Macaca mulatta: one gene and its partners. The main gene of each other region encodes a partner of the protein of the gene in region 5 in a complex. Links are inferred from orthologs where the notes say so. Each region holds a gene or a part of one and is shown on either strand. Other genes may lie near its edges.

Region 1 (4,194 bases), on a different chromosome or scaffold from region 5:
AAGTGCAAGCTGCTGCAGCCCGCCCCCCAGGTGCTGACAACAAGGACCAGTGTTTTAATCTTCTTAGAGAGCAGATCAGAGTGTGTTTAGAAGGCAAAGGAGAGGTTAAGCTAGCTCTGAAGGATTACTTTGTAAAACTGAACTTTCACCCTCCCTGCTCTCCCTCCTACCTTAGCATAGCAGCACCCAGTTACCCAAGGCACAAAGCTGGCATCAGCAATGAAACTTCCTTCTCCTCACACCCAGTGACTCACTCAATCCTTTATTTTCCACGTCTTGAAAGGTGGAGTGCATGCTGCCACCTCTCTCTAATACTGCCTATGCTGTGGTGATGGTGGTGGTAGTGGCTAACTGATGGGTGTTAGCAGCTATTATAAGGTCCTTACATCTATCAAATCATTTAGCCCTCAAAACAACTCTGTTACTTGCATTTTACAGATAAGAAACTGAGGCACAGAGAATTCGGTTAGGAAACCAACGTGCCGGAGATTATACAACTAGCAGCCCATCTGGATTCTTCCCATCGAGGCCCTGGGGCTCCAGAGCCCACCCTCTGCACCTCTCTAGCTACCAGTGCAGTCATCTCTCTTCTGTCCTTTGTATGCCCCAAATAAGCTTCTTCCTGACTGGTTTCTAGGCTCTCATCTTGTCCCCCACCAATCCATTTCCCATATTTTTGTTCGAAAACACAAATAGAAACATACCCCATCTTTAGGTAAAACCCGACTTTTCCACTGCTCCAGTGCACTAAGCAAGTTCAACTCCTTAGCCTGGGCGGGCCTCTGTGTCATCTTAGTAAACCGCCTTTTAACTTTGTAGTTCCTGGGATTCACCCATGTTTGCTTAGCGGTCCCATTCCTCCAAACCCATAAATTCCTGGAGAAAAGGACTGGAGCTCAATGACATTTGTTAAATGAATTTTTGAAAAGCAACAGTGCTTTATTACTGGAAAGTGTTACAGATATTGTGAATTTTTTTCCTAGGGCTTCTTTCAATTTCGTTGAATTCTCGTCCAATATCATCGTAACATTTGATCAGGTAGTTTATCACCTTGTAGTGTCACTGTTCCTTTCTGTATCCTCTCGAAGCCTCCTGTTTTTCCTTTCCTAATTCTCTTCCAGCCCACTGCACGATCTAGTGTCGAATGGATGAAACAGCTGAGCAGAACAGTTCTTTAGCTGTCGGCCTAAATGACCAACTTCATGACCTCTCAAGGTCTCGCTCCCCCGCTGCACGCAGCTCAGCTTCCAACATTCGGGAAAGGCGTGCCCGGCCGGCGAGGGGCCGCTGGGGCCGAGTCCCGGACGTCGCCACGCGCAGTGGGCTGCTGCAGCCGGCGCTCTCGGGAAAAGTGAGGGGACGGAGGCGCCCGAGCAATATGGGTTTCGGGAACCGTGAATATTTCACTTTGCGTAGAGCCCCGTCGGACAATGCGTCCCAGAACAGAGGGCTTCTTTCCCCCTGCCAGGGCTTCCCTCCAGTTCTCCACTCGGAACAAACAGCCTGCAGTTCCCGCAGCTGCAGCGCGGGCCGCGGAACACGCGCCTGGAGCGGGGCCCGGGCGGGACTCCGGAGCTGGTGCTGCTCCCCCAGCGCTCCGGCGCCGGGCCTCGCCGCGCGGCCTCCTTTCTCCCTTCCTCCCGCCCTGCTCGGCCGGAGGCGGCGGCGGAGGGGCGAGGTGCGGCCCCCCTTCGGCGGCACCTCCTCCCCAGGCAGGCGCGGGCGGAGCCCGGCCCGCCTCAGCCAGCCGCGGCGGGAGCAGCGCGGCGCAGCGCCGCGGGCAGCGAGCTCCGCATTCGAACCTCCCTCGCAAAGACAGTCTCCGCCCCACAATGCACCGCGGCGGGCAGCCTTTGAAAAAGCGGCGCGGCTCGTTCAAGATGGCGGAGCTCGACCAGTTGCCTGACGAGAGTGAGTAGCACCTCAAAGCACCCCCGCCTTTTCCCGCCTGCTGCCTGCCCCACGGCTGCACCGGCCGGGACGGACGGCCGTGCCCTCCGCTGGGCAGGTGGGCTGACTGCCAGCCCCACTGTGGTCCCCTAGTCCTCCCACTCCGGTGTTGCCGCCGCGTCGCCGCCTTTGTTATGGTGTCTGTGTGTTGGTTTCTGGGGTTGTGTGAGCGCCAGGGCCGGAAACCGAGAGCCCGGGAGTCCAGCCTGTGCCAGGCGGAGGCGGTGGCTGCTCCCCTGGCCCGACTCCGGCCCCCAGCCGAGGTGGGGGGAAGAGCGGCCCCCGGGCGCGGGGGCTGTCCTCGCCGCCTGCACCACTCGCCCGGCGCCGAGAGACGCCCGCCGGGGTTATGTAACTCGCCTGTCCCGGGGCCGGGGGAGGGCTCGGGCTGGGCACGGTGTGGTCCACGGCCCCTTCTTCTTGCCCCAGCTTCTGATCTTGTCCTGTCACAGCTCCTGCCTCTACGGGCACTTGTGATCTTCACTGTCCTCCCCGCCCCCCCACCGGTGTGTCCACCCCTGGAAGTGTTTCCGTGTCAGAGGGTTGGCCCCTTCCCCTGGGACCACAGGTGGCTGTGGACCTTTCCTGAGATCATCCAGCCCGGATACTCAGTGTTCAGGTAGCCCCCGTCCCGCAGAGTTTATTCTATATGTGTCTTAAGAGCCATGAAGGTACCTTTATGTATGGATGTGACCAACACAGCGTACATGTGCAGTACCCTGCCTGACACCCACCCTAGGGCATTGCCTCACCTATCCGTGTTTACTCACCCTGACATCTAAGACGTGTATACTCACTTGTGTTGAGTAAGTAAAAGCACCAATTCCGTAGTTTAAGGGCAATGGAACTTTTGTAATTTACAGTATTGCATAAATTATATGAAAAGGCAAATATGTTAGTTAATTACAAAAAAGTCCTGAATCCACATTCACTATTCAGTTTATACATATTTGTGAAAGGCTCAATCACTATTGAATCTATCTATGCACAAGGTAAATGGACTTTGAAAAAGAGAACTCAACATACCGATTCCATTTTCTTTGTGAGGTCATGTATTCTTAATAAGTTATAAAGTTAAAATAAAAGTTCAAGTTGCCAAGCTGGTGAAAAGTCGTATTAAAAGTGTTGTGTTTTAAATTTGATAGAGAGCAGCACTAAGTACCAAAGGAACTTTGTCCGTGATGGAACTGTTCTCTTTTGTGATGGCCAATAGGGTAGCCAAGCTACTAGCCATACGGGACATTTCAAATGTGGCTAGAGTGATGGAGGAACTGAATTTTGAATTTTACTTATATAGTCACATGTAGCTAGTAGCCACTGTATTGGATAGGGAACAGCTATTGACCAGTCATGAGTTGTATTGTTTATTTGTAGAATACAATTGATTGTGATTTATTTTATTTATTTATTTATTTATTTATTTTGAGATGGAGTTTCACTCTTATTGCCCAGGCTGGGGTGCAATGGCGCTATCTCGGCTCACTGCAACCTCTACCTCCCGGGTTCAAGCGATTCTCCTACCTCAGCCTCCCGAGTAGCTGGGGTTACAGGCATGAGCCACCATGCCCGCCTGATTTTTTTGTATTTTTAGTAGAGACGGGGTTTCTACATGTTGGTCAGGCTGGTCTCGAACTCCTGACCTCAGGTGATCCGCCCGCCTCAGCCTCCTAAAGTGCTGGGGTTACAGGTATGAGCCACCGTGGCTGGCCTTGATTGTGACTTTGAATGCTCCCAAATGAGTGTGGACCTACTAAGCACAGTGTACTTGTCATCCGAAAATGTTTTTCGTCATCCTTGGTATCTTTATCATAAAGATGTCTTATCACCTCTTGGATGTCACAATCACTAGAGCTCCTATTTTGGTTACTGCAGTCATTCTGTTGTAATGAGAGGTGTTTTATGTGGCTTTCTTACAACTGCCGTTGGGAATATTTGCTTCATATCATCCAACATTTATTGAGAATTTACTGTGGTTCTTTGTAGGGACTTGGGATTTATATTAGGGTTCAAATTCCAGCTCCACTTTCAAATTAATATAACCTAATCATTTATATTACTTTGTGACATCTCTGGTACATTGATGTGTATTCGTGTGTATATCTTGTTTAACCAGACTTCAGCTTTGTTGAAACCAGGGATTTTCTTTCTTTGTTATACAGTGCCACAAATCAAGTATACATAAATACTTAATTTATATGGAATTAATGCAAAGTAACAGGTATTATTAATGAAACTGGAGGAGGG
Region 2 (4,098 bases), on a different chromosome or scaffold from region 5:
CCTATCTATGTAAACTGTTTAACTTGGCTGAGAGAAAGTTTCACTGAAAGTTTTGGCAAGAAAGGGGACAGCCAGTCTATGGAAAATACAAAGAGCCACACTTAGGGAAAATAATTCGGTAAATGGCTGCCTTTGGTGAAAATCTAGAGTCCACTTCTAGAAGAAAATTCAAAGTTCATACACTGACCCTCGCCCCTCACGTTCCCCCTCCCTCTTACCTCGGATCACCACGGACAGTGAAGTAGGGTGGGGGAAGGGAGCAATGGCAACGTGGACGCTCAAGGCAGGGGACAGAATAACCAAAAAGAGTAGTTTCTGGGGGATAGAGAGAACGCTGGTGCAGAGGTGAAAGGGAAAGACGGTGGGCGGATGGAGAGATGAGGGCAAGAGACTGACAGCAGGGAGCGGGCAGAGCTGGAGAAGGAGAGTGGGCGAGAGCCAGAAAAGAGGAGGCTTAGGAGTAAAAGGGTAGAGGGCCAAGGGTAACAGCCCAGGGTTGGATCCGGGACGAGGGAGGGTATGAAGTGAGGGCTGGGCATGGGACAGGGCCCACAGGTTAGGTAGGAGGTCCGGCCAAAAAGGGGTTGGGCCAAGAAGGTGGTCCCAGCCCGAGGACGGCTCAGGGAGCGGACGGAAAGGATCCAATTCCTAGCTTCATGGTGCCTTGGCGCCACCCTCACTCGCCTGCAGGATCCTGGCTCGCACTGCCGCCGCCGCCGCCGCCACTACCGCCGCCATGGCTCTCGGCCGCCCTAGCTCCGCAACCCGCTCCTCTACAGCTCAGACGCACTACAGCTGCCAGGCCTAGCCCTCCATCCTGCCGGGCTTCCTCATTGGTGGGGAGGACTATTTTCTTCAGCCAATCACTCGTCCTAACACCTGATTCCTCCTCTCACACCCCAGTCCTGGGGATAAGTGATTGGTCAGGAGCGAAAATGCTCGCACCCTCTCCTACCTCAGCCAATGCCGTTGGCGGAGGTAGAGAAGACGCCCCCGACTTGGACACTCCATACTGAGCACACGGAGGAGACGCCCCCTAACCTGGAACTCCGATTGGCCAAGGACGCAACCGAGGCCCCACCCCTTCACTGAGCAAAGTAAATAAGACCCTCCAAGAATTTTGCTGTCGCTCCACCTCAACAACTGCATAAGGGGCGTGGCTATGATGAGGGGAGGGGCTGGGCGAAGATTGCCCTATGAGGCGAGGGAATGAGACGTGGCTGCGAGTTGGGGATAGGGTTTCTCTTTGGGGGCGTGGCTTATGGATCCTCGTTTTCCCGCCGACGGTTGGCCACGTCACGTGACATGGGTTGGAAGATGGCGTCTCCCACAGACGGTAAGAGCCGGCTTAGGGATGTTTGCCTGCAGCCTCCTTCTTTGCTGTATGGGGAACATCCACTCTGTCTCTGCCCCTCGAACATACATTTCTTTCTTGGGCTCTTCTCCTTTCCCTTTTGTTTTTTTTCTTGCGATCCATCGCCGTCTTCAGCTCACCGGTTCTTCGCAGCAGCTTCAGAGGTGCCCAGTTTCCCTGCTCTGTACCAGGCGTGTGGAGGAGGGCACTAGGGAGGGACTCATTCTGGGTAAAAGGACAGGGGTCGCCCTGGCCCTTCCTTATCTCTATTTGGGCGAGGCTGAGGGTAGAGGAGGAGATGTTACTGGAGGACGTGCCTTACTGTAGTTTTCTCCTTGGGGTATCCCATTGAAAGGATCAGTTCTCTTCTGATTGAGCGCACAGATGGAACGATTCTCAAACCCTCGCAGGGGCTGCTGGCTGACCCCATCTCGATAGTGAACCGCAAGAGAAACATGATCTCTCTCCTGTCTCCTCAGTTTGGGACCATTGCCGTGGCAGCAAGAGAAGCGGGGGACGTTCTCGGCCCCTCGCCGAGAGAGTCGCGAGGAGAATGAGTATTGAGCTTTTAAGTGTTGTCTTGCACAGGTCGCAACCGCTCTTTCATCTGCTTTACGTGTTGTTTCTTAAGGCTGAGTGAATGAACGATTTCTGTTTATATGTTGTGTAAAATGCAAGTCATCTCAAGTAACAAGTTGTTTTGGTATACTCCCATGCTTTTGCTTTTGGTTCTGCTTTAGAGAGGGTCTTGCAGTCATTTTTAAACTCATTTTTAGTTCTACCATCCGCATCCCAACTATATATCGATTTTATTGATATATAGGTTTCCCTCCCTTAGACAAACAGATTTTGTATTTGGAAGGAATCTTGGAAGTTCATTGCAGGAATGAAGAAATTGAAGCCAAGGTGAGCTGTATTGAGTACCTACTACATGAAAGGCATAATGCTAGGTGCTTTGGGAGACCAAAAGATGACTCAAACATACACACTTTTTTTTTTTTTTTTTCCAGTTTCAGTTCTCTTTTTAGATGTCACCTCCCAAAGAGTCTTTCTTAGAACACAGTATCTGGAGTTGCCCTTCCCCACCATTATTCATTGCCTCAGTATCTTCCTTGTCAGCATAGTTACTATGTTAACTTTGCCCCTTGTACGCTAGATTATAAATTACAAGTTTGTCTTGTTCATAGCTGGATTCCAGGTTTAGCACAGTGCCTGACGAACAGTAGGTCTTTAATTAACATGTATTGAAAGATTGATTAGATATGTGCAGAAATAATATATTACTTGATCTTAAGTTTTACGTTTAACCGAGTCTTAAATTTTGTGAGCACAGGTACATACTGTGTTAGAAATTATGGCCGGGCGTGGTGGTTCACACTTCTAATCCCAGCACTTTGGGAGGCTGAGGCAGGCAGATTGCCTGAGCTCAGGAGTTGAAGACGAGCCTAGACAACATGGTGAAACCCCATCTCTACAAAAAAATACAAAAATTATCTGGGTGTGGTGCCGTGCACCTGTAGTCCCAGCTACTTGGGGGGCTAAGGCAAGAGAATCACTTGAGCCTGGGGGTGGAGGCTGCAGTGAACCATGTTCATGTCACTGCACTCCAGTCTGGGTGACAAAGCGAGACCCCGTCTCAAAAAAAAAAGAAGGAAAAACAAGAAATTTGGATGTTTGGAGTCAAAAGAGATTCTCCTTCCTGGGTGCTCTCTTGCAAAAATGTCCTTCTCTCGCCAGAAAGAAAGGCATTTAAAAAGGGAATAGGGAGTTATTGTTAATGGGTACCAAATTTCAGTTTGGGAAGGTGAAAGTGTTCTGGAAATGAATGTGATGATTGCACAATTAATGTACTTAATACCACTGAACTCTATACTTAAAAGTTATTAAAATGGTAAAATTTATGTATATTTCACCACAATTTTTTTAAAAAGCCAAGTGATAGAAATAGAGGTAATTGTTATTAAATTTTTTAGTTTATTTTAAAATTGTTTTTACAAATTTTGGGGATTTTAGAGATGTGTTCCTTGAGTTTGGTTTTTTTTTTTCCTTGTCTTCTCTCAATTTAGTTTCCTTTCTTTGGCCAGGAAGAGTATTAAAAATGTTAAATTTTTTTCCTTTGGTCTTCTAGCCATCCCTATGGTCACTTTATTTGCACTCTTGATTTTTAAAAGTCTTCATTCTCATCTCTTACAAAGTTTTACTCCTCTCCACCTAATGTTTTCTTTTAATCTGAAAAAATCAAGTCAAGCACTTTGAACTTAAATTCAACGTCTCAGTAAGTATCTCATTCCAAAATATTCCATGGCCTAGCTCTCTCACTTCTATTTTTAGTGTTCCACCTGTCACTGTCTTTAAAATTTAATTCAGATAACATTGACTTGAAAATGTTTGTCATTTACTCTTTTGTCTTTTTCGTGATAAATTTGCTGGAGCTTCTTTGAAAAGGAGAAAACTGAAATTCAAATACAGCCATCTAATTACTTAATTTATGAGAGTAAGACTCACAGCAGAGTCTGAGTTCTATCCCAGACTGTGGGATAAGGTCACCCATGTAGGTTATTAGATTGTACCCCCAATAATTTTTTTTAAAATTTTCTTTTAGAGACAGGGTCTCTCTCACTCTATTGCCCATGCTGAAATGCAGTGGTATGATTATAGCTCACTGCACCCTCAAAGGCTCAAGCTATCCTCCCGTCTCAACCTCCCAAGTAGCTGGTACTATAGGCTCACACCACCATGCCCAG
Region 3 (4,094 bases), on a different chromosome or scaffold from region 5:
AAAATGAATTGGTCGGGCATGGTGGCTCAAGCCTGTAATCCCAGCACTCTGGGAGGCCGAGGCGGGCGGATCACTTGAGGTCAGGAGTTCGAGACCAGCCTGGTCAACATAGTGAAACCCTGCCTCTACTGAAAATATAAAAATTAGCCGGGCGCGGTAGCACGCACCTGTAATCCCAGATATTCAGGAGGCTGAGGCAGAAGAATCGCTTGAACCCGGGAGGCGGAGGTTGCCGTGAGCCAAGATCGTGCCACTGCACTCCAGCCTGGGCGACAGAGCCAGACTCTGTCTCAAATTAAAAAAAAAAAAAAAAAAAAAAAAAAAAAAAAAAGGACTGTCTGCCCTTCAGAGTCAGCTACCAGAAAATTCGGAGACTGGGGTTTTTAAAGAATGACTTGGCGGGTAGGGGGCCAGGGAGTGGCGAATGCTAATTTGTCAGGTGGGAGGTGAAATCTTAGGGGGTTGAAGTGGGCTCTTGCTGTCTTCTGTTTCTGAGTGGGACTGTAGAACTGGTTGAGCCAGATTATGGTCTGAGTGGCGCCAGCTCATGCATCGGAATGCGGGGTCTGAAAAGTATCTCCAGCACCAATCTTAGGTTTTACAATAGTGATGTTATCCCTGAGAACAACTGGGGAGGTTAGGAATCTTGTAGCCTCTGGCTGCAAGACTCCTAAATCATAATTTCTAATCTTGTGGCTAATTTGTTAGTTCTACAAAGGCAGACTGATCCTCAGGCAAGAAGGGGGTTTGTTTTGGGAAAGCGCTGTAAAAATCTTTGCTTCAAAGTGAAACTACAAATTAAATTCCTCCTGTAGTTAGTTGGGTCTTCGCCTGGGAATGAACAAGTGCAGCTCGGAGGTGAGAAGCATGGAGTCATTTAGGTCAGATCCCTTTCCCAGTGGTAACTTTCTCACTGTTAGGATTTTTGCAAAGGCAGTTTCGTGAAGGTACACAGACAGGCCCTTGCTATTATCCTGGTTTTTTAGATAAGGATATCCAGGCGATGAGGAAGTTTTACTTCTGGGAACAGCCTGGATGCGAAACCTTCACACGTCAGTGTCTTTTGGACATTTTCTCGTCAGTACAACCCTGTTGAATGTTCTCACGATGGGGAGGTATGTGCTTAAAATGCGGGGAAGGTGCTTTTATTTCACCCCTGGTGAAACTAGGCGAGCTAATTTTTTTAAACATGATTTTTGGCCCCCTTGAACCGTCGGCCTGGACTACATTTCCCAGCAGGCCGTGCTCAAGACTACGGGTGCCTGCAGGAGGTCAGCGTCGTTGGCAGCGGCGCAGGCGCAGGCGCGGAGCGGGCGGCGGACGGGCGGGCGCTTCGCGGTTTGAATGGCTGCGGGCCCGGGCCCTCACCTCACCTGAGGTCCGGCTGCCCAGGGGTGCGCTATGCCGTCGGGAGGTGACCAGTCGCCGCCGCCCCCGCCTCCTCCTCCGGCGGCGGCAGCCTCGGATGAGGAGGAGGAGGACGACGGCGAGGCGGAGGACGCCGCGCCGCCTAACGAGTCGCCCACCCCTCAGATCCAGCAGCGGTTCGACGAGCTGTGCAGCCGCCTCAACATGGACGAGGCGGCGCGGGCCGAGGCCTGGGACAGCTACCGCAGCATGAGCGAGAGCTACACTCTGGAGGTGCGCTCGCGGGCGGAGGGGCGCTTCCGGCCTAGTCGGCGTGAACCGGTGCCTTCCGAGCCGCGTCGCGCGCCACGAGAGACCCTCGGGCGGGTTGCGGGATCCCAGCCGGGAGAGGCGTGGGGACCCCCTCTGCGCTATTCCGAGGCACTTAGCCGCTCCGAGGGCGAACCTGCTCTCGCCGCGCTTCCCCGCGGCTTCCGAATGGGGAACGCGTTTTGCCCTAAAGTAACATAGGGAAGCTGAGATCGCGCTGGGGTCCCGATGAGGAAGATGGGTGTGTGTGGCCCATCTGACCCCCCGCCCGCCTTGTTAGTAGAATGAACTAGTGTCGTTATCAAGACCGCACGGAGAAGGGGAGGGGACTTGCCCTTATTTGCACCGCGATTAACCGGGCTGTGGCACCTGGGTCTCCAGGCGTCTCCGTCTGTTCGCTTCCCCCTGTTAACCAAATTGCCTTTGCCCAGACGTTGCTGGCGTTAGAGTCAACGAGCTGATGCGTTTTGGTCTGTGTTTACGTCTGTGTAAACAAATTAAGACTCATTTTCCCCCAGGCCACATGAAATGAGCCCTCCGCCGACCCGTATATAGATACATGCTCCCATTTGTCACTAGGCTCAGGATTGTGGCTACCTCGAGGGCTTTTTGGTCACCCCGGGCATTGCACAGGACTCCTGTTGTCGGGATCCGGGCGTGTTAGGTCGCAGCCTTCGGACTGGGCTTGCGGATGAGAAAAATGGCCATTCTAGCCAGTGACTGTTAGTTCTGTAGGCACCTCCCTTTCATGGGCCAATGGGAAGTGACACGGAAGTACGGATTGTTTATCAGCTCTTCTACTGTGTGTGTGTGGCATTTAAACCTGAGGCCATTTAATTTCTCAAGTAGTTTTATAATTACTTTGGATAAAGAGGGGGGCAAATAGGCCCAGGATGCAAAGCCTAACCAAGGTATTATTTAAATATGATGTTTTTGGCTATGTGTACTGATGAGTGAGGTTATTTTAAATTTGTATTTGCATTAATAGAATTTTGATTCAATTACGATTTCCCTCTTTGAATTGTTATATCTGCAGAAGAAAGATAGTGTATGGTGGCTTTAGAACCCGACAGACCTGGGTGACTGAACAATTTACTTAACCGCTGGAAAGTTGAGTTTTGTGATCTCTAAACTGGAGATATGTGTGTTTACCTCACAGAGCTGTTCTGAAGATTAAATAAGGCAACAATGTAGTTTCTGGCACATAAAGCACCCATATGGACGGTGCTTTCAAGTTTCCTAAGCTCTTTGTATATTTACATGATCTGGCTGAGTAAACTATGTTCCTGTCCGTCTCTCAGTGCCTTTCTGTAGTCTGGCAAAGAGAAGGACTGGTTGACTTTTTTTTTTTTTGCTTTTTTTTTTTCTTTGGTAAAGGGCCTTAAAGGCTTCTAAACAAGCTTTTATTTTACCCTCAGGATGATCCTGTAAATTAGATAGAACAAGCGTTATCACCATTTAGTTGAGGTATGTCAACTCATAGTGGTTAAGTTGTATGAAGTCCAGTGATACATGAGCAAATACCACGTAAGAGCTGGTTAGTAAATTATTTTTGAAAACACATGTTTGATTACTCAATTCTTTTGATTACTGAGACTTTAGTTTCAGCTTCTTAGCCCAGTTTATTCAGTAAATGATTTACTCAGTAAAATATTCATCAAATATTTCTTGAGCACCTGTTCTCAGTGCTACACACTGTTCTCAGTGCTGGATATAGAGCATCAAACAAAGCCTAAAAATACCTGCCTTTGTGGGGCTTATAGTGAGCTACGCTGTGAGATAATGTGGGATGTCATTCTCATGGGAGTGTAAGGGGAAATAAAGCTCTTATGATATTTAATACAGAATACTGGTTATGGAAATTTAATTTGATTCATTGTATTTTCTGTGCATTTTTAACCTATAACTCATTCTTACAGTCCTCAGCCAAAAAAATGCAGCCTCTGAGACTGTTTAGTAATTTTCCCACTGTGTTACAGCTACTGTATGGCAGAGCCAGAATTTGAAACCAGATCTATTTGACCCTATAAGATATGGCCACGAGATGTTAATTTTGAGGATAACTATTTTTTAGTATTATGGAATTTTTCAACAAATATTTTTTAGGACCAAAGATAAACTAGGCAGAGTCTACTCTTTGCATAAATTGTTTAAAAGAGCTTCCCGCTCCGTTTTATCATCTAAGCACGGTAAAATTCTCACAAGACTAATTCTTTTCTTCTTTTTAGGAAAGATGCAGTTGTAGACTTTCTTTTTTTGTTGTTGTTGTTTTCTCTCTGCCATCCAAGTAGTTGTGAATTTTCTAGAGCCAAAATAGAACATTATAGATTATCTTTTAAACCCTTTATTGAAGCACAGGATAATGCTATGACTGACTTAACTTTATACTTTCTAAGAGATCTTGATAGAGTAGAGAA
Region 4 (2,710 bases), on a different chromosome or scaffold from region 5:
AAAGCATGCTTTGTTTGTTATATCATCTACTGCTCTGTTGGCCAGACTTTCATTCACACTATGTTAACTTTCATCTCAATCATCTCAGCCTTCATGTGATTTGCTTATTGTGTTTCTCTAGTTTTCACTGAACACACAGTGCAAACAAAGGCAAAGACTGAAGCAATCATTTCAAAAACAAGAGCTCACACTACAAACACACATGAGCATCACATATTGAAACGTAGGCTTTCTCTTGTCTTTATTCTGGGGAGGAGGAATCCTCCTCATCATCTTCCTCATCTTCATCATTGAACGAACAGGGGGTCTCGCCTCGGGACTCGGAGCAGTGAGAGGCTGCACTGCTGGACTGGTGACTGTTTGGGGCCAGGAACTGCCCAGTTGCTAAGGCCACTTCTGCATCCAAGCATAACCCTTGGTTTACACTAGCAAACAATTAAAAACACACAGGCTCATTAATGTGGTATAAACAGTTTTGTAAAATATAGGAATAAAAACATAGGAAGGAGGTGCCATTGGTGAGATCTGCCACAAACCTGCTCAGCAGGACCTGTGCTGGCAGTAACATGACCCCGGCTCACCCCTACACAGACAGTCAGGGCTCTGGGGTTTGCCTTTCTAACCCTGAAAAAAATACGTACCTTGACTGGGGTAAGGTGGCACCAGTGTTCAGGTCTAAATTTGAAACTGATTGGGTAGAGTTCAGAAGTAGTCCCTGATTTAACCAAGAAGGTCCTGTGGAGATATCTAAAGGAAAAAATGAGAACAAAAAATGTCGGTCCTGCAAGTTTTGTGGCTGCTGTTGTTACAGTCTGAAGAAAGCACAGAAGAGCAAGAACTAAGCTTATTCTTCATGACAGCGAGACAATTCTCTTGCTGTGAGAAGAACCCAGGTTTCTTCATCTTCTTGGAAGAAAAAGAAACTCTAGAACACAAGAGCAGGAAAAAAAAATACGGGAAGGCAGCTTATGGAGAGAAGGTATTCAAATGAAAACACTCACAGGCGCTTTCTTACTCTTTTTCTTAGATAAGCCCTCCAGAGCACAGCCCATGGGATGCAGCCCAGTGTACCATCCTCAATGCCTGGGCTGCCCTCACCACAAAAGACCTGGACTGTGGTGTTGACAGCCAAAGCCAGAAGTGGGAAAAGAGAAAATCAAATCAGAAATACATGAGGTAAGAAGGCCACCCTACATAGAGGGCAGACAGATCTGTTTTGGCCAAAACCCCTGCCGCAGTGTCTTTTCAGGTGCCTGCTGCTGGTGAACTCAATGCTGCTACTCATCAAATACCTATTCTTTTTCCTGACAAGATTTTTCCTGGTATCCTTTGCTTTCTAATTCAAACTAGCTCTTATTTTTAAAAACTCACATGCAGTCATGTTTTTAATGAGGTGGAGACAGACATTACTGTTTTAGTATACAGAAAATATTTTGGGCTGGGCACAGTGGCTCATGCCTGTAATCCCAGCATTTTGGGAGGCCAAGGCGGGCGGATCACCTGAGGTTGGGAGTTCAAGACCAGCCTGTCCAACGCGGAGAACCCACCTCCACTAAAAATACAGAATGAGCTGGGCGTTGTGGCGCATGCCTGTAATCCTAGCTACTCGGGAGGCTGAGGCAGGAGATTCGCTTGAACCCAGGAGGCGGAGGTTGCAGTGAGCTGAGATTGCACCATTGCACTCCAGCCTGGGCAACCAGAGTGAAACTCCATCTCAAAAAAAAAAAAAAAAAAATTTTTTTTATATCTCCTTGCCATCTTCTTTTCTATACATATACCACATTTCTCCTATGACAACACTGATCAATTCTTATTGTAATTTTACTGGTTTAATACTTCTAATCTTCCCATCTACAGTGTCAGCTCAAAGAAGGCAGTAACTGGAACATGTAAGATCTAAATGTGGCCAGGCGCGGTGGCTCATGCCTGTAATCCCAGCACTTTGGGAGGCCAAGGTGGGCAGATTGCTTGAGCTCAGGAGTTCAAGACCAGCCTGGCAAACATAGCAAAGCCCCATCTCTATTAAAAATACAAAAATTAGTCAGGCATGGTGATACACGCCTGTAATCCCAGCTACGAGAGGCTGGGGCAGAAGAATCACTTGAACCCAGGAGGTGGAGGTTGCAGTGAGCCTAGATCGTGCCACTGCACTCTAGCCTGGGTGACAGAGCAAGACTCTATCTCAAAAGAAAAACAAACAAACAAAAAAACCCAAAAAAGTTACTGAATGAATGAGTATAGTTTTGCCAGCTGCCACTTTACAAAATAAGTGGTAGATACATTAAAAGTAATTCCTAAAAAGAAATTATATAAGCCCAAACACATACTCAGAAAATGTAATCTGCCAAAATGAGCTATGATTTAATTTAGTCAAAATCTTTTTGCAATTACTGTACAAAAAAATGAAACTATATGATTTAGATTGGAAACTCTGGTATCCAAACAAGAGGCCATTCCCATATAGGAAAAAAGTAAACTAAATGACTATGCTAATTTTAAAACCGTCTTATGAACCTTTTTCTTTGAGACAGCTGTGGAAAAAAAAGACTTCAAGCCTAAGAAGAATAGCAGACTTTAAATACATTAAATAACAACAAGTCTGTACAAGAAAATAACATTAATGCCAGAATCCTGTGCTGAATATTAATTAGTATATAGAACTATAGAAACCTTCTGTCAGAACACAACTATTTACTTGTTTGTGAGCATA
Region 5 (4,152 bases):
TTTGACAGTAGTGCATGCAAGCTTCTCTTAATTCAGCTCCGCTTAATTCACTCCGCACCTGCATCTGATTTGCAAAAGATGAAGTGTAAAATTTCAAAATAGCAAGTGTTTGTTACAGTGTTAACATGCGGCTCAGTGCTCTATGCAGTAGACCATGCTGCCTTGCAAATTTTCCTTAGCCAAGTCTAATTGTCACTGTAGCAAATCTACTTTAATGCTACTTGAAATGAACAGTTCGTAGTTATTAGACTGGAACCTCAAGTAGCTGCAACCGCTAGAAACTCCTCCGGTGGTTCCCCCCTCCCCGGTCTCTCCAGAGGAAAGAAGGTCGTCTTCTACACTTAACTACCATGCTTATTCATCTGGACGAAACGCTCAGTCCACTGTCGTCTTCACGGGTTATTCTCCAGTCCGGGCTTCTCCGCCGCGCACGTTATTTCCCGTAGAGCGGACACAAAATTAAGCACCTTGAGGACCAGCGGTAGACACGGATTATCTCCCGTTCCAAGCACGTCTCCCGCTAGGAACTTTTTTCACTTGTCACGCTTCAGCTGCTTTTTGAGGAAAACAGGTGATATTTGGTTTCCTGCCAGTCTCCGTCACTCTCGTGGCTATGATGTCTGGGTAAAAATAGCTCACATTTTTGCTTAAAAAATAACGGCAGCGCAAATTTATGGTTAGGTTTGTCTCAAGTCTGAAAATCGCGCCTCCTAACTAGTGAGACGGAAGACACCTAAGGAGCGAGGAGCTGTGGCCGAGGCGAGGCTGCGGAGACGTTCCCACACTGGGCCGCGGGACCACCCACCTCGCTAGAAACTCAGTCCTCTCACCCTAAGAAGTTTGGGGCAGCTGGATGACTCCACCGCCCGCTTCCGGACCCGCTCCAGCGCCGCTTCCGGACCCGCTCCTCGGCTAGCGCAGGAACTTGCTCTCCCAGCAGGCCCCGCGCGGTGCGCCTCTCGGCGCGTTCCGGGTCCTGTGACAGCTCGGCCCGCATGCCCCACCCGCGGCCCCACCCGCTGCCCCACCCCCTGGCTCCGGGCTCGTTCCCCGACTCCCGCGAGTTCCAGTCCCAGCTTCCAGCTCCCCAGCCCCGCCCTCAGCCGCGCGCGCTCTCCCCGCCCCGCCCCCGCTGCTCCGCGTGCGGTCCCCACAGCCAATGGGGTTCAGGGCCGCGTGCGCAGATTCAAACGGCGGCTCTTGAGGGAGGCTGGGCGCGAGATTCGGCGGTGCGGACAAAACCCTGCAGGAGACTGCGAGCCCTGCAGAACTGCTAGCTGCGGGGAGAGGGGAGGGTCGGCGCCTGTGGCGGAGCCGGTCTGGGACCGGGGCGGGGAGGCTGACAAGCGGCGGGAGAAGCCGGCGGAGGGCGGGATCGCGCCTCCTGACATGTTGGGGGCATCCCTGGCAGGGCCGGGCCGGGGCTAAGAGCGGCACTGCGGGCCGGGGTCGGGGGCGGGTCGCGGTCCGCCCCCGCTGTCCCTCCGTCCTACCCTGTCGAGGACGTGCGTTCCGCACTCGGCAGTCTCCAGAGGGAGCGAGGGAAGCTGCTGGAGAATCAGGGAGAAGGAGCATTCGCCGGAGGCTGGAGGAGGCTGACCCGCGTCCCCGCCCAGCCCGCTCCTATGCGGTACTTGAAGGATGGCGAAGAGGTCGCGCAGGTGGGTGGCACCCCTTTCGCTCAGGCCTGTCGGCGCCGTCTCGACTTAGATTCTCTTTCCTATCCCACTGCCCCCTCCCGCCATAAGGCCCTCCCCGGCGAGGGCAGAGGTTTTTATTCCCGCGTGCCCGCGGCCGCTTGGCCTCGATGGCCGGAGCGCAGCCGCGACGTGTGGAGAGTTGGGGACCAGGGTGTTTGAGGCGCGGGACGTACGAGATGCCCAGGTTTCTCCGTGGCTCTCCTCACAGTGCGTGTCCAGGCTCCTGACCTCACGCTGCCACTTCTTCGGGGCAGGTTTCTTGCCAGGTAAGTCGAGCGCTTTTAGGGAGTTCGCTACGCAGAGAAAACTGGCTGTGTCCTGCCAGGAGGACTTGAAAATGGTGTTCGGGCGACTCTTTTCTGAATGACAGTACAGTCAAAATAGGAACTCCGCGGTGAACCTGGGCAGCCACCCCTCTGCCAACCTAGCTATCTTGAAACGTTGTGGAAAATCCTCTGGGGAATAGCTGAGCGAACCTTTTCGATGTTTTCTGTAATTTCCATACCCATATTCTCAGCTTTATGTATATATGTATATTTTAATATCCTCTATTGGGACCATGTCACATAGTAACAACTAGTAGTAACAGCTAGTAGCTTGATCTTAAAATAAAACAATGTGTTTGATTCACTTAATATTTTGAGTGTCTGTGTTTGACTCTGACCGTACCTAAGTGTTGCACAGAGGTAAAGCACTTTTTTCCACCTTTGCCTGGAAATGTGCTAGGATGAATTTATGTGTCTACTTTTTGTTTACATGCCATTACAGCAGCTACTCATAAATTATGTGGAGTAATTGCTTAGATAACAAAAATATAGGGTGTCTTCTGATTTTCAGCATTATCAGATAAACCTGAAAAGATGTTTGGCAGAATTTCCAAATTTTTTTTTATCTAGATCCACAGCCCCAAAATCTTAACTAGAGATGTGTTTCCTAAGTTGAAATTTAGTAATGGGGGTCATTCACTGCAGAGTTCTGCTAAAAATTGGCAGTAACTATACATAATTGTTTTTTGCTTTGTCTGTTAAATATCTGCTGTGTGCAGGATGCTTCTGCAGAAATCCTTAAGTCCCGGTAAACTTACTAGTTTTGTACTAAGTTATAGGACAAACCCTTGAGATGATATAAATGTATACACAGACCCCTCTAAAACTGTTTTCAACCTTTGCACTATTGACATCTTGGGCCAGATAATTCTTGTAATGGGGAGATGTTTAGCAGCATCCCTGGCTTCTACCCAGTAGAGATAGGAACACTCCACTTCCCTCAGTCATGACAGTTAAAATGTCTCCAGACATTGCCAGATATATTTTGGGGGACAAAATCACTCAGGAAAGAACCACCCCTCTAGAACTTCAAGGACCCAATTAACATCAATCTTCAGAAAAGATAGATATTTAAACCTCTTGTAATTATGATTGCTGAAGTACTGGTTTAGGCTTTTTGAATTTTTAAATTTAAAAAAATGTAAAAATAAGATGACAATTGAATATGTTAACTCAATAACAAGTTTATTAATGTGTGATATCTACTTATCAGTATTGCTGTTAATCTTATTTGAAACAGTTTCTTGGCTAATTCTGTCATCAGCATTTAGTTAAATTAAAATTATGACTAGACATGAATGTTTAAATGTCAGAACCTTCCCCTCCCCAAAGGGTTTTCTGTCAATTTCATATGTATGAAGTGTATGTTTCATAATAATAGACAAAGGAGAAATAACTTAATGTTAGTTTGCCTATGTAAGTTGTTTTATTGAGAATACTGTGAGCTTGAAATCTAAATATTGTACTTTTGACATTTATCCCTTGCCAGTTGTGTAAGTTAATTTAAACATGATAGAGTGATTTAAAGAGTCAAATCTTGAGTAATTAAATGTGGTGGGGTGAAGCTACACTGTCCCTGGGAGTATACAGATAGAGGATGTGGGAGAAATTATCATCTCTGAATGATGTATCTCTTAAGTCTTCATACTTGAATGTGTTTCATACTCTAAATTACATTTCTTGCATACGTAAATATGATTTACATATCTTAGACGATAGTAGATGCTCTGCTTTTGTGCTTCAACCAAAAACAAAAGAAGATAGCATGTGAATTGTTTTGAAGCAAAAATAATGTAGTCATTGGGAAAAATCTCTCTTGCCTTTTAGCTAAGTATCTTAATATATTTGAACTCAATTTATAGCTGAAAGGGAAAAGAAATAAAAGTTACTTCAGGTTGTAATTTGAGATCTCCAGTATACAACCATTTAAGCGGTCAAGTGAAAACTATACTTTGCTATATAAAAGTTTTGCCTAAGAGCATAGGCATAAATCCTGTAATATACGTTTCCTATGTGATCTGAAAAAAAAAAAGAAAAAAGAAAACCTAAAAGTAGAAAACTAAGTGTTACCTCAAGTGTGAAACAACTGCAGGACGTTAGCTGTTTTGACCTTTAAGATAGCTGTA
Region 6 (3,977 bases), on a different chromosome or scaffold from region 5:
CATCTGCCCGATTCTGCTTGTCTTACTCCCTTAAAGGTGTGGATCCTGACCAGGTGTGATGGCTCACGCTGTCATCCCAGCATTGGGATGAGGTCTGAGGATCGCTTGAGCCTATGAGTTCGAGACTAGCCTGGACAATATAGTGAGACTCTCATCTCTACAAAAACTAAAAATAAATGAGCCAGGCATGGTGTGTGCATGCCTGTGGTCCCAGCTACTTGGGAGGCTGAGGTGGGAGAATCGCTTGGGCCCAGGAAGCTGAGATGGCATTGATCTTGCCACTGCACTCCAGCCTGGGCAACAGAGTGAGATCCTGTCTCAAAAAAAAAAAAAAAAAAAAGAAGTGTGGATCCCCAACAAACTTGCTGCAAAACCCTGTCTCGAGTCCCATTTCCCATAGAACCTGACCTAAAAGAAACAATAATAAATAGTAACAATGTTACAAGTAACAAAATGACCCTAGCAAACTTTCCTACATGCCAGAAATGACTCTGAGTGCTTTACTGATATATACACATAGGTAAATACGTTTGCATTGGCTGAAGTGTATATAACCCCATAGTCTCTGAGCACTGTAGCGGGAGGACAAGATGAGCGAAAGATGAGGCTAGGACCATGGATGGAGAGAGGTGGACAAGGTAGATATAGTTAGTGCTTGCTGTTTGGCAGGAAGTGAGGGACAGGAATAGATGGGGTGACCCCAAGACAGTAGGGGAACCTTTAGGAACATTTTTGATGTGGCAGTAAAATGAGTTTGAAATATAAAAGAATAAATAAAGAGAAAAAAATTTAAAAGGAACTGATTTGAGGGAACAGATTGGATTAGTCAGGTAGTGTGGTCTTGTCTCCCGAGATGGGGACTGGGCAGAGTTAGTGATGTTGGGGCAGATTGGCAAGGAAAGTTCCGATGGCATCCCTTTCTCTACTGCCAGGGCTGCCCACTGACGCCCTCCTCATTCCTCCCTAACTTCATCCCAACTCCCGGTCTACCCAGGTAGTTTTCGTCTTATTCGGCGGCTGGACATTTGCTAATGGTCCCTGAAGTTTTGCGGTTGCACCCACAGACAGCAATAGCGCCGCGTTCCCTGGAAGACGCACGGGGCGGAAGCGGAAGCAGCAACGCTGGCTCCGGCTGCCGGACGGCCAGGAACGGAAGCGGAAGTGGCGGCGGCGCCGGCCTGGCCTGGCCTGGCTGAGGGGAGGCGGCGGGCGGACGCGATGGCGGAGGCCGGGCCGCAGGCGCCGCCGCCCCCGGGCACTCCAAGCCGGCACGAAAAGAGCCTGGGACTACTCACCACCAAGTTCGTGTCTCTTCTGCAGGAGGCCAAGGACGGCGTGCTTGACCTCAAGCTGGTGCGGCCCGGGCTAAGGGGCGACAAGGGAGGATGGTGGACCAGGCCTGGGCCGGTAGCGGGAACCCCGGGGGCGGCCCAGCTGGGTCCTCCGAGAGCCGGCCGCCATCGTGTGCTTTCTCACAGGAGAGAAGCCGGGGAATGTTTCATTCATTCGGCCGAGGCCATTGAGCTACAGCTATGGGCCAGGCTCGGGGCTCCAGGTGTTCGTCCTCGTGGCCCTTCCTGGCTGGCGAGGAGAAGAGCTGCCTATGGGACAGAGCTGCGGGCCTGAGCTGCAGTAGCGCCTGGCAGGCACTACAGGGTTGGAATCCAGGTTACTCCCTTCCCAGACCACGTCTCAGGGTGGCTGGGGGTACACCCGAGAGTGGGGCTGAGCATTCTCCACTCTGTCTGCCAGGCAGCTGACACCCTAGCTGTACGCCAGAAGCGGCGGATTTACGACATTACCAATGTTTTGGAAGGTATCGGGCTGATCGAGAAAAAGTCCAAGAACAGCATCCAGTGGAAGTGAGTGGGGATAGTGGGAGGGTAGTAGAGTCTCCCACCCAGAAGTGTCGGGGGTGGGGTGGAGGGTGCCAAAGAAGGCAGGGGCCGTGGGACCCAGAGTTCTCAGCAGTCCCTCTCAGCCCCACTCCCTGGGCTCAGGGGTGTGGGGCCTGGCTGCAATACCCGGGAGATTGCCGACAAGCTGATTGAGCTCAAGGCAGAGATCGAGGAGCTGCAGCAGCGGGAGCAAGAACTAGACCAGCACAAGGTGTGGGTGCAGCAGAGCATCCGGAACGTCACAGAGGACGTGCAGAACAGCTGATATCCTCCTGGCGTTCCCTCCTGGGGGGAGTGGGCAAGGGGCCCTCTGGTTCAACTTGCCCTGGGCAAGCTCCCTGTTCCTCTTGGGAGCTTGTCCTGTGGCCCCTGGCCATGGCCCAGCCTCAGGCTCCCTCCTCAGAGCCTCTCCCCTTCCAGTCTTAGCCTGTGATCCCTCCCCCAGTGGACCTGAGTCCCCAGAACTTTCTCTGAGGGGCCTCTGTGTCAGACCTTGGCTAAAGAATTGGGTCTTTTTTGTAGTCTGCCATCTGTCACCATAGGGCATCGGCCATTCTCCTTAACCCTCACACTTTGGCCTACGTCACTCATGAGGACATCTGCAGATGCTTTGCTGGTGAGCAGAGCCTGGGTAGGGGTGAGGGGGTGGGCTGGGCTCAACCAAATCCCTGAGCACTGGGTTCAGTGTCTCAGGAGAGTTCCGTCTCTTAAGAGGGTTTCTGGGGCCTGCTCAGAGAGGAACCAGGCAGGGTAAGTCTTCTGTCTGAGTGTCACTGGGACCCTGTGGAGGTCAGCTATACCAAGAGGGTACAGGAATTCTGGAGTGGGTTCCTGGGTCTGTTCCCAACTGTACTGTTTCCTGGATTTGGCTTCTTGAGTATGATAGAGGTACAAGGGGGAGAAAGGGAGAGAGGATATGTGTGTATTTGCTTGTGTGCAGGCTCTTACATGCAGGGCATGGGGGTGCCCACCTCCAACTTGTTAGTTTAATTGCATTGTGAATGCAGGATATGTTCCTTTTTTTTCTTTCCTTTTTTTTTTTTTTTAAAAAGAGACAGGGTCTTGCTATGTTGCCAGGCTGGTCTTGAACTCCTGAGCTCAAGCTGTCTTCCCCGCTCAACCCCCTAAAGTGCTGGGATTATAAGTGTGAGCCACTGTGCCCCGCTGATGTGTTTCTTCTCCATCATGTATCCTCCTGACTGGTCATGGGAAAGGGATGTTGGCCTTGGCTAGAATACCTTCACCTAGGGAACAGCCATCGGTGGAAGAGTGAGGTGCCTGTGGCCAGTGATATTTGACTCCACATACTTGAACCCAGATTTCCTGGTTACTGACTCTGGGCTCTCAGGAAGAGAAGAGCTTTAGCTCTGCCCAGCCACTATGGGGAATGGGTGAGGTCCACTGTCTAGTCCCTCAGAGACCATGATCTCCTGCCTTGCTCCAAAAGACAGGCACCTCTGTTCCCAGCTCAGATTGAGCCCATGGGCTCTGACCCATTCTCCATGTCATTCTAGGAGATACCCTCTTGGCCATCCGGGCCCCATCAGGCACCAGCCTGGAGGTGCCCATCCCAGAGGTGGGTGCTTAGCCCAGGCAGGCGGGGTCAGCTGAGGGCGGGTGCTGGCTGTGGAGACTGATAAGTCCCGGGTGGGGCAGGTAGGGGAGGCCTGGAGTTTGGGGTTATCTAGGAGGATGGGCATCCTGGGTGGGAGAGGACACTGGTCCTGACAGAGTCGGGCAGGAGCCAAGCCTGCTTCCAATTCTACCCATCTCCCATCCCTTACCACCCATCTCTAGGGTCTCAATGGGCAGAAGAAGTACCAGATTCACCTGAAGAGTGTGAGTGGTCCCATTGAGGTTCTGCTGGTGAACAAGGAGGCATGGAGCTCACCCCCTGTGGCTGTGCCTGTGCCACCACCTGAAGATCTGCTCCAGAACCCACCTGCTGTTTCCACGCCTCCACCTCTGCCGAAGCCTGCCCTAGCCCAGTCCCAATCCCAGGAAGCCTCACGTCCAAATAGTCCTCAGCTCACTCCCACTCCTGTCCCCGGCAGCGCAGAAGTCCAGGGAATGGCTGGC
Region 7 (3,500 bases), on a different chromosome or scaffold from region 5:
CGAGTCTCCATCACCATGGCTGCCACACCATCCCCTCTGGGAGGGCTCGAGCACACCTCGGCCAGAGCAGCAGTCAGCTCTGCACTGAGCACCTTGCACACGACCCCCTCCACACCAGACACGGGGCCCCCAGGGGTGCCGCCCACCCTCAGCACTCAATGGGAGGTGGGAAAGGCCAGCTCCAGGGCCCTGATCAGCACTGTCAAGACCCAGGTGCATTGCGCCCACCACAGTTTTACATGCCTCGCCTGGCACCTGGGCCTTGGGTTAAGCACCTCTGAGGGGATTTTTCAAATGCTGCTTTTGCATGAAGTCATCCCTCCATCTGTCTTTTGGCTGTTTAGACACTGTGACGAGGGATACACACATACACATGCACACACACAGGCACATGGATGCAGGCACACACACGCAGGCACGCACACACATGCGTGCACACACACGCAGGCACACACGCAGGCATGCACACACATGCACACACACAGGCACATGGACGCAGGTGCACACACACATGCACACACACACGCACGCATGCATGCATACGCACACACATACACAACCTCGCTCTGGGAACACGGCCCACATTCAACACCTATGAGATGAACTCACACTCAGAATCTTAAAGCAGTCATTTAATTTGCCACACAGGAGCGTAACCCAAGGCAGTATGTTGCTGTTATAAAACTAAATTAGTAAAATAAAAATTACCCTGCCTCCAAAGATATGTATTCTCTTACCTGTAGAATAAGTTCTTGAAGTTGAGACTGTTTCTGTTTTATTCTTTCAAGTCTCCTCTGTCTTTCCACCTTCAAAAACAAACCCCCCATGTAGAGAATCATCACGATTGTTCCATACAGTGCATTTTACAACCCGCATCCTCAGTGTTACCTATGTTTACCTTGAATGTAATCGAAGGGATATGGACAAATCTAGACATAGCAGGTGCCACAAAATACAGGTGAGTTTTTCTTCCATTTCTAAACTATACCTTTTCCCCTCTCCTCTCATTTCTTGGATTTAACTATGGTATCTAAAAAGAAAACAAAAATCCCACAAACTAGGATTCACAATTAACCTATGCTAGAGTTTAACACACTCTAGTGGGTCTGGACCAACCATGCTCCCTCCCCTGACAGCCGAGACTGAGAAACGCAGGGAGACGTCTGCATGACCGTCTGCCAGCCGTCTGGACACAGAGAGCATAAGGGCATGGAGCCCAGACCCTTCTGAGTGACGGACAACAAACACATCTACACAGACTTGAAGGGAAATCAAGGTTGAAGGGCCACCTCTAAGTTCTGACATTCCTGAGCCGAGTTGGTGGGCAGACCAATCCACTTGATCTCCTTCTTCTCCTTGGAGATGATGTTCATGGCCATCAGCACGTTTAAGGCATCGTAGACGCGCCGTCTTATGTTCTTCTGGTCATAAGCCTGCGGATGACAGGGAGTGGATTTTCCAAATGATCCAAAAAAGCCTGTGGATCCCACCTTAAACTGTAGGCCACGCGCACCGGCTTGAAGGGGCACCCCGCTCACAGAGCTGTCACCCCAACACGTCCTCAGGGAGCACTCCCACCCTACAGATGATGCAGGGCAAGACAGGGCTGTGCGAATCCCGGTGTGTTCCAGGAGGGGAGCTGGGGGCCCTCTGGTGTCGAGCCCAGCTGGCGAGGAGGGCACGTCTGCATTTCTGGGCCGCTGGATGTGCAGAGCCAGCCCACGTGCTCGCTCACTGACGCTGACAGAGCATCATGCCAGCAAATGGACTGGGAAAAATTCTGTCATGCTGTACTTGGAATTTTCTGTATGGTTTTAACTGTTCCCAATATTAAAAGAGTAAAACGTGCCACACCACTTGGTTCCGCTACCCTGGCCTCTCGGCCCCCAGCACACACTTACTGACTCGTTTGGTAAGATGTGGTTGTCGGCAGCACTGAACTCCGCGACCAGCTCGTCCGCCACTTCGTTGTAGGAAGTGGTCCCTTTCCTCTGCACCTTCTCGCAGACCTTCATGGAGAAATGCCGCAGGCCCTTGCCATTCTTCTCTCCTTTCCTGTTGCGCTTCCTTCAAAATACAAAGGAAAAAAGAAGCGACTGTCAGCCCTCCTGAGCATCAGTCTGAATCGAGGAATGCTTTTACCTGAGAGCTCTAATGAGCTGCACAAAAAGGGGCCACATCCCACGGGCGCAGCAGATCCAACACGTGAGCAGGCCAGGACCACCTAGCCCCAGCCCCCAGGCCCAGTGCTCCTGCAGGTCAGAAAGCGAGTGTCTCCCTGGCAGGCTGCACCTCTGTCCTTCCAAGTGTCAGGGAAAACGGGAGGCGTCCCCAGGACCCGAATCAGCATATGGAAGGCCTATCAGTACTCAGCATATGAGAGGCCTATCAGTACACCAAGCACTTCTTTTTTTTTTTTTCTTTTTTGAGATGGAGTCTCGCTCTGTAGTGGGCTGGAGTGCGGTGGCACGATCTTGGCTCACTGCAACCTCCGCCTCCTGGGTTCAAGCAATTCTCCTGCCTCAGCCTCCCAAGAGCTGGGATTACAACAGGCGCCCGCCTGCCACCACACCTGGCTAATTTTTTTGTATTTTTAGTAGAGACAGGGTTTCAGCATGTTGGCCAGGATGGTCTCAATCTCTTGACCTCATGATCTGCCGGCCTCGGCCTCCCACAGGGCTGGGATTACAGGTGTGAGCCACAGGCATCACTTTTCTAAAGAGGGCAACCAGAATCAGGAACTATGGGACATTTCAGTGTACATTTGGGAATTTTTAGGACAAATTTCAGCAGGCTATAATTTCATACGGCTTGGGCTGTGATAGCCGCTTGACAACAGGTGCAAACCACTAAGTGTTCTTCACACAGAGGGAAAGCCCAACTCTACACTCTGGTCAGTCCCCACGTGGCGGGAAAGGTCACCTGCGGTCCCAGCTGGTGAAGCTTTGGGCACCGACACAGGTAGGTTTTTGTAGCTTTGCATGTGTGTTTTTTTAAGGAAAGACACAGCTCATCAGATCTTGCTTTAGTGGAAGGAGCCACTCTGGTGGGACCACTCACGGGGGCCGTAACCCCAGGGGCAGTAGAGGCTGCATTCAGGGGCAGTGGGTGAAATCCATCCCGCGTGCTCCCAGCACAGACGATGAAAAGTCTCCAAGGTCCTGTGGCAAGTACAAGGCCAGCTTCTCCCCGTCTTGGCCAAGAGCTGCCAGCCCTTCCAAGAGCACCCACTACACCAGACACAAAGCAGGGTGGGCAGTGCCCAGCCCGACTTCTCCGTGACCGAGGCAGTGCGCCTCGACTGCACACCTGTGCGGGGCACGATGATGGGTGAGTGTGATTCGGAGGCTGACATCAATGCGCATGGGAGCCCCACCGTGCGACTGTGTCACGCACGTGGCCCAGGAGAACGTGGAGGTGCGAACCGCAAGCAATCCTACAACTCTAAGGGTCCGGAGGGAAGTGCTCACCCGGCAGACCAAGGTGAGGAGTCGGAAGGC

What was found.
Region 1: MYBL1 (region 5) and LIN9 share a complex: the UniProt entries of both Homo sapiens proteins name them as parts of the DREAM complex. The link is inferred for Macaca mulatta from reciprocal best matches to the Homo sapiens genes MYBL1 and LIN9.
Region 2: MYBL1 (region 5) and LIN52 share a complex: the UniProt entries of both Homo sapiens proteins name them as parts of the DREAM complex. The link is inferred for Macaca mulatta from reciprocal best matches to the Homo sapiens genes MYBL1 and LIN52.
Region 3: MYBL1 (region 5) and RBL2 share a complex: the UniProt entries of both Homo sapiens proteins name them as parts of the DREAM complex. The link is inferred for Macaca mulatta from reciprocal best matches to the Homo sapiens genes MYBL1 and RBL2.
Region 4: MYBL1 (region 5) and TFDP2 share a complex: the UniProt entries of both Homo sapiens proteins name them as parts of the DREAM complex. The link is inferred for Macaca mulatta from reciprocal best matches to the Homo sapiens genes MYBL1 and TFDP2.
Region 6: MYBL1 (region 5) and E2F4 share a complex: the UniProt entries of both Homo sapiens proteins name them as parts of the DREAM complex. The link is inferred for Macaca mulatta from reciprocal best matches to the Homo sapiens genes MYBL1 and E2F4.
Region 7: MYBL1 (region 5) and TFDP1 share a complex: the UniProt entries of both Homo sapiens proteins name them as parts of the DREAM complex. The link is inferred for Macaca mulatta from reciprocal best matches to the Homo sapiens genes MYBL1 and TFDP1.

The regions. Positions count from the first base shown.
Region 1 is NC_133406.1:84,065,587-84,069,780, reverse strand, and holds the start of LIN9 (protein lin-9 homolog), read left to right. Parts: upstream 1-1,394; 5' UTR 1,395-1,430; coding exon 1,431-1,911; intron 1,912-4,194. UniProt on the Homo sapiens protein: Acts as a tumor suppressor. Inhibits DNA synthesis. Its ability to inhibit oncogenic transformation is mediated through its association with RB1. Plays a role in the expression of genes required for the G1/S transition.
Region 2 is NC_133412.1:147,266,493-147,270,590, forward strand, and holds the start of LIN52 (protein lin-52 homolog), read left to right. Parts: upstream 1-1,298; 5' UTR 1,299-1,305; coding exon 1,306-1,336; intron 1,337-4,098. Other genes in the region: ALDH6A1 (methylmalonate-semialdehyde/malonate-semialdehyde dehydrogenase [acylating], mitochondrial), read right to left, coding at 685-738.
Region 3 is NC_133425.1:48,916,137-48,920,230, forward strand, and holds the start of RBL2 (retinoblastoma-like protein 2), read left to right. Parts: upstream 1-1,294; 5' UTR 1,295-1,401; coding exon 1,402-1,641; intron 1,642-1,932; exon of another isoform or gene 1,933-2,161; intron 2,162-2,274; exon of another isoform or gene 2,275-2,365; intron 2,366-2,475; exon of another isoform or gene 2,476-2,570; coding exon of another isoform or gene 2,571-2,588; intron 2,589-4,094. UniProt on the Homo sapiens protein: Key regulator of entry into cell division. Directly involved in heterochromatin formation by maintaining overall chromatin structure and, in particular, that of constitutive heterochromatin by stabilizing histone methylation.
Region 4 is NC_133407.1:44,932,519-44,935,228, forward strand, and holds part of TFDP2 (transcription factor Dp-2), read right to left. Parts: intron 748-2,710; coding exon 642-747; intron 426-641; coding exon 242-425; 3' UTR 1-241. UniProt on the Homo sapiens protein: Can stimulate E2F-dependent transcription.
Region 5 is NC_133413.1:77,305,320-77,309,471, reverse strand, and holds the start of MYBL1 (myb-related protein A), read left to right. Parts: upstream 1-1,428; 5' UTR 1,429-1,641; coding exon 1,642-1,661; intron 1,662-4,152. Other genes in the region: uncharacterized protein LOC144330579, read left to right, coding at 351-398, 814-1,428. UniProt on the Homo sapiens protein: Transcription factor that specifically recognizes the sequence 5'-YAAC[GT]G-3'.
Region 6 is NC_133425.1:62,734,175-62,738,151, forward strand, and holds the start of E2F4 (transcription factor E2F4), read left to right. Parts: upstream 1-1,177; 5' UTR 1,178-1,218; coding exon 1,219-1,353; intron 1,354-1,478; exon of another isoform or gene 1,479-1,532; coding exon of another isoform or gene 1,533-1,668; intron 1,669-1,752; coding exon 1,753-1,862; intron 1,863-2,000; coding exon 2,001-2,162; intron 2,163-2,470; coding exon 2,471-2,514; intron 2,515-3,412; coding exon 3,413-3,474; intron 3,475-3,695; coding exon 3,696-3,977. UniProt on the Homo sapiens protein: Transcription activator that binds DNA cooperatively with DP proteins through the E2 recognition site, 5'-TTTC[CG]CGC-3' found in the promoter region of a number of genes whose products are involved in cell cycle regulation or in DNA replication.
Region 7 is NC_133422.1:107,853,264-107,856,763, reverse strand, and holds part of TFDP1 (transcription factor Dp-1), read right to left. Parts: coding exon 3,471-3,500; intron 2,068-3,470; coding exon 1,902-2,067; intron 1,434-1,901; coding exon 1,290-1,433; intron 807-1,289; coding exon 738-806; intron 1-737. UniProt on the Homo sapiens protein: Can stimulate E2F-dependent transcription.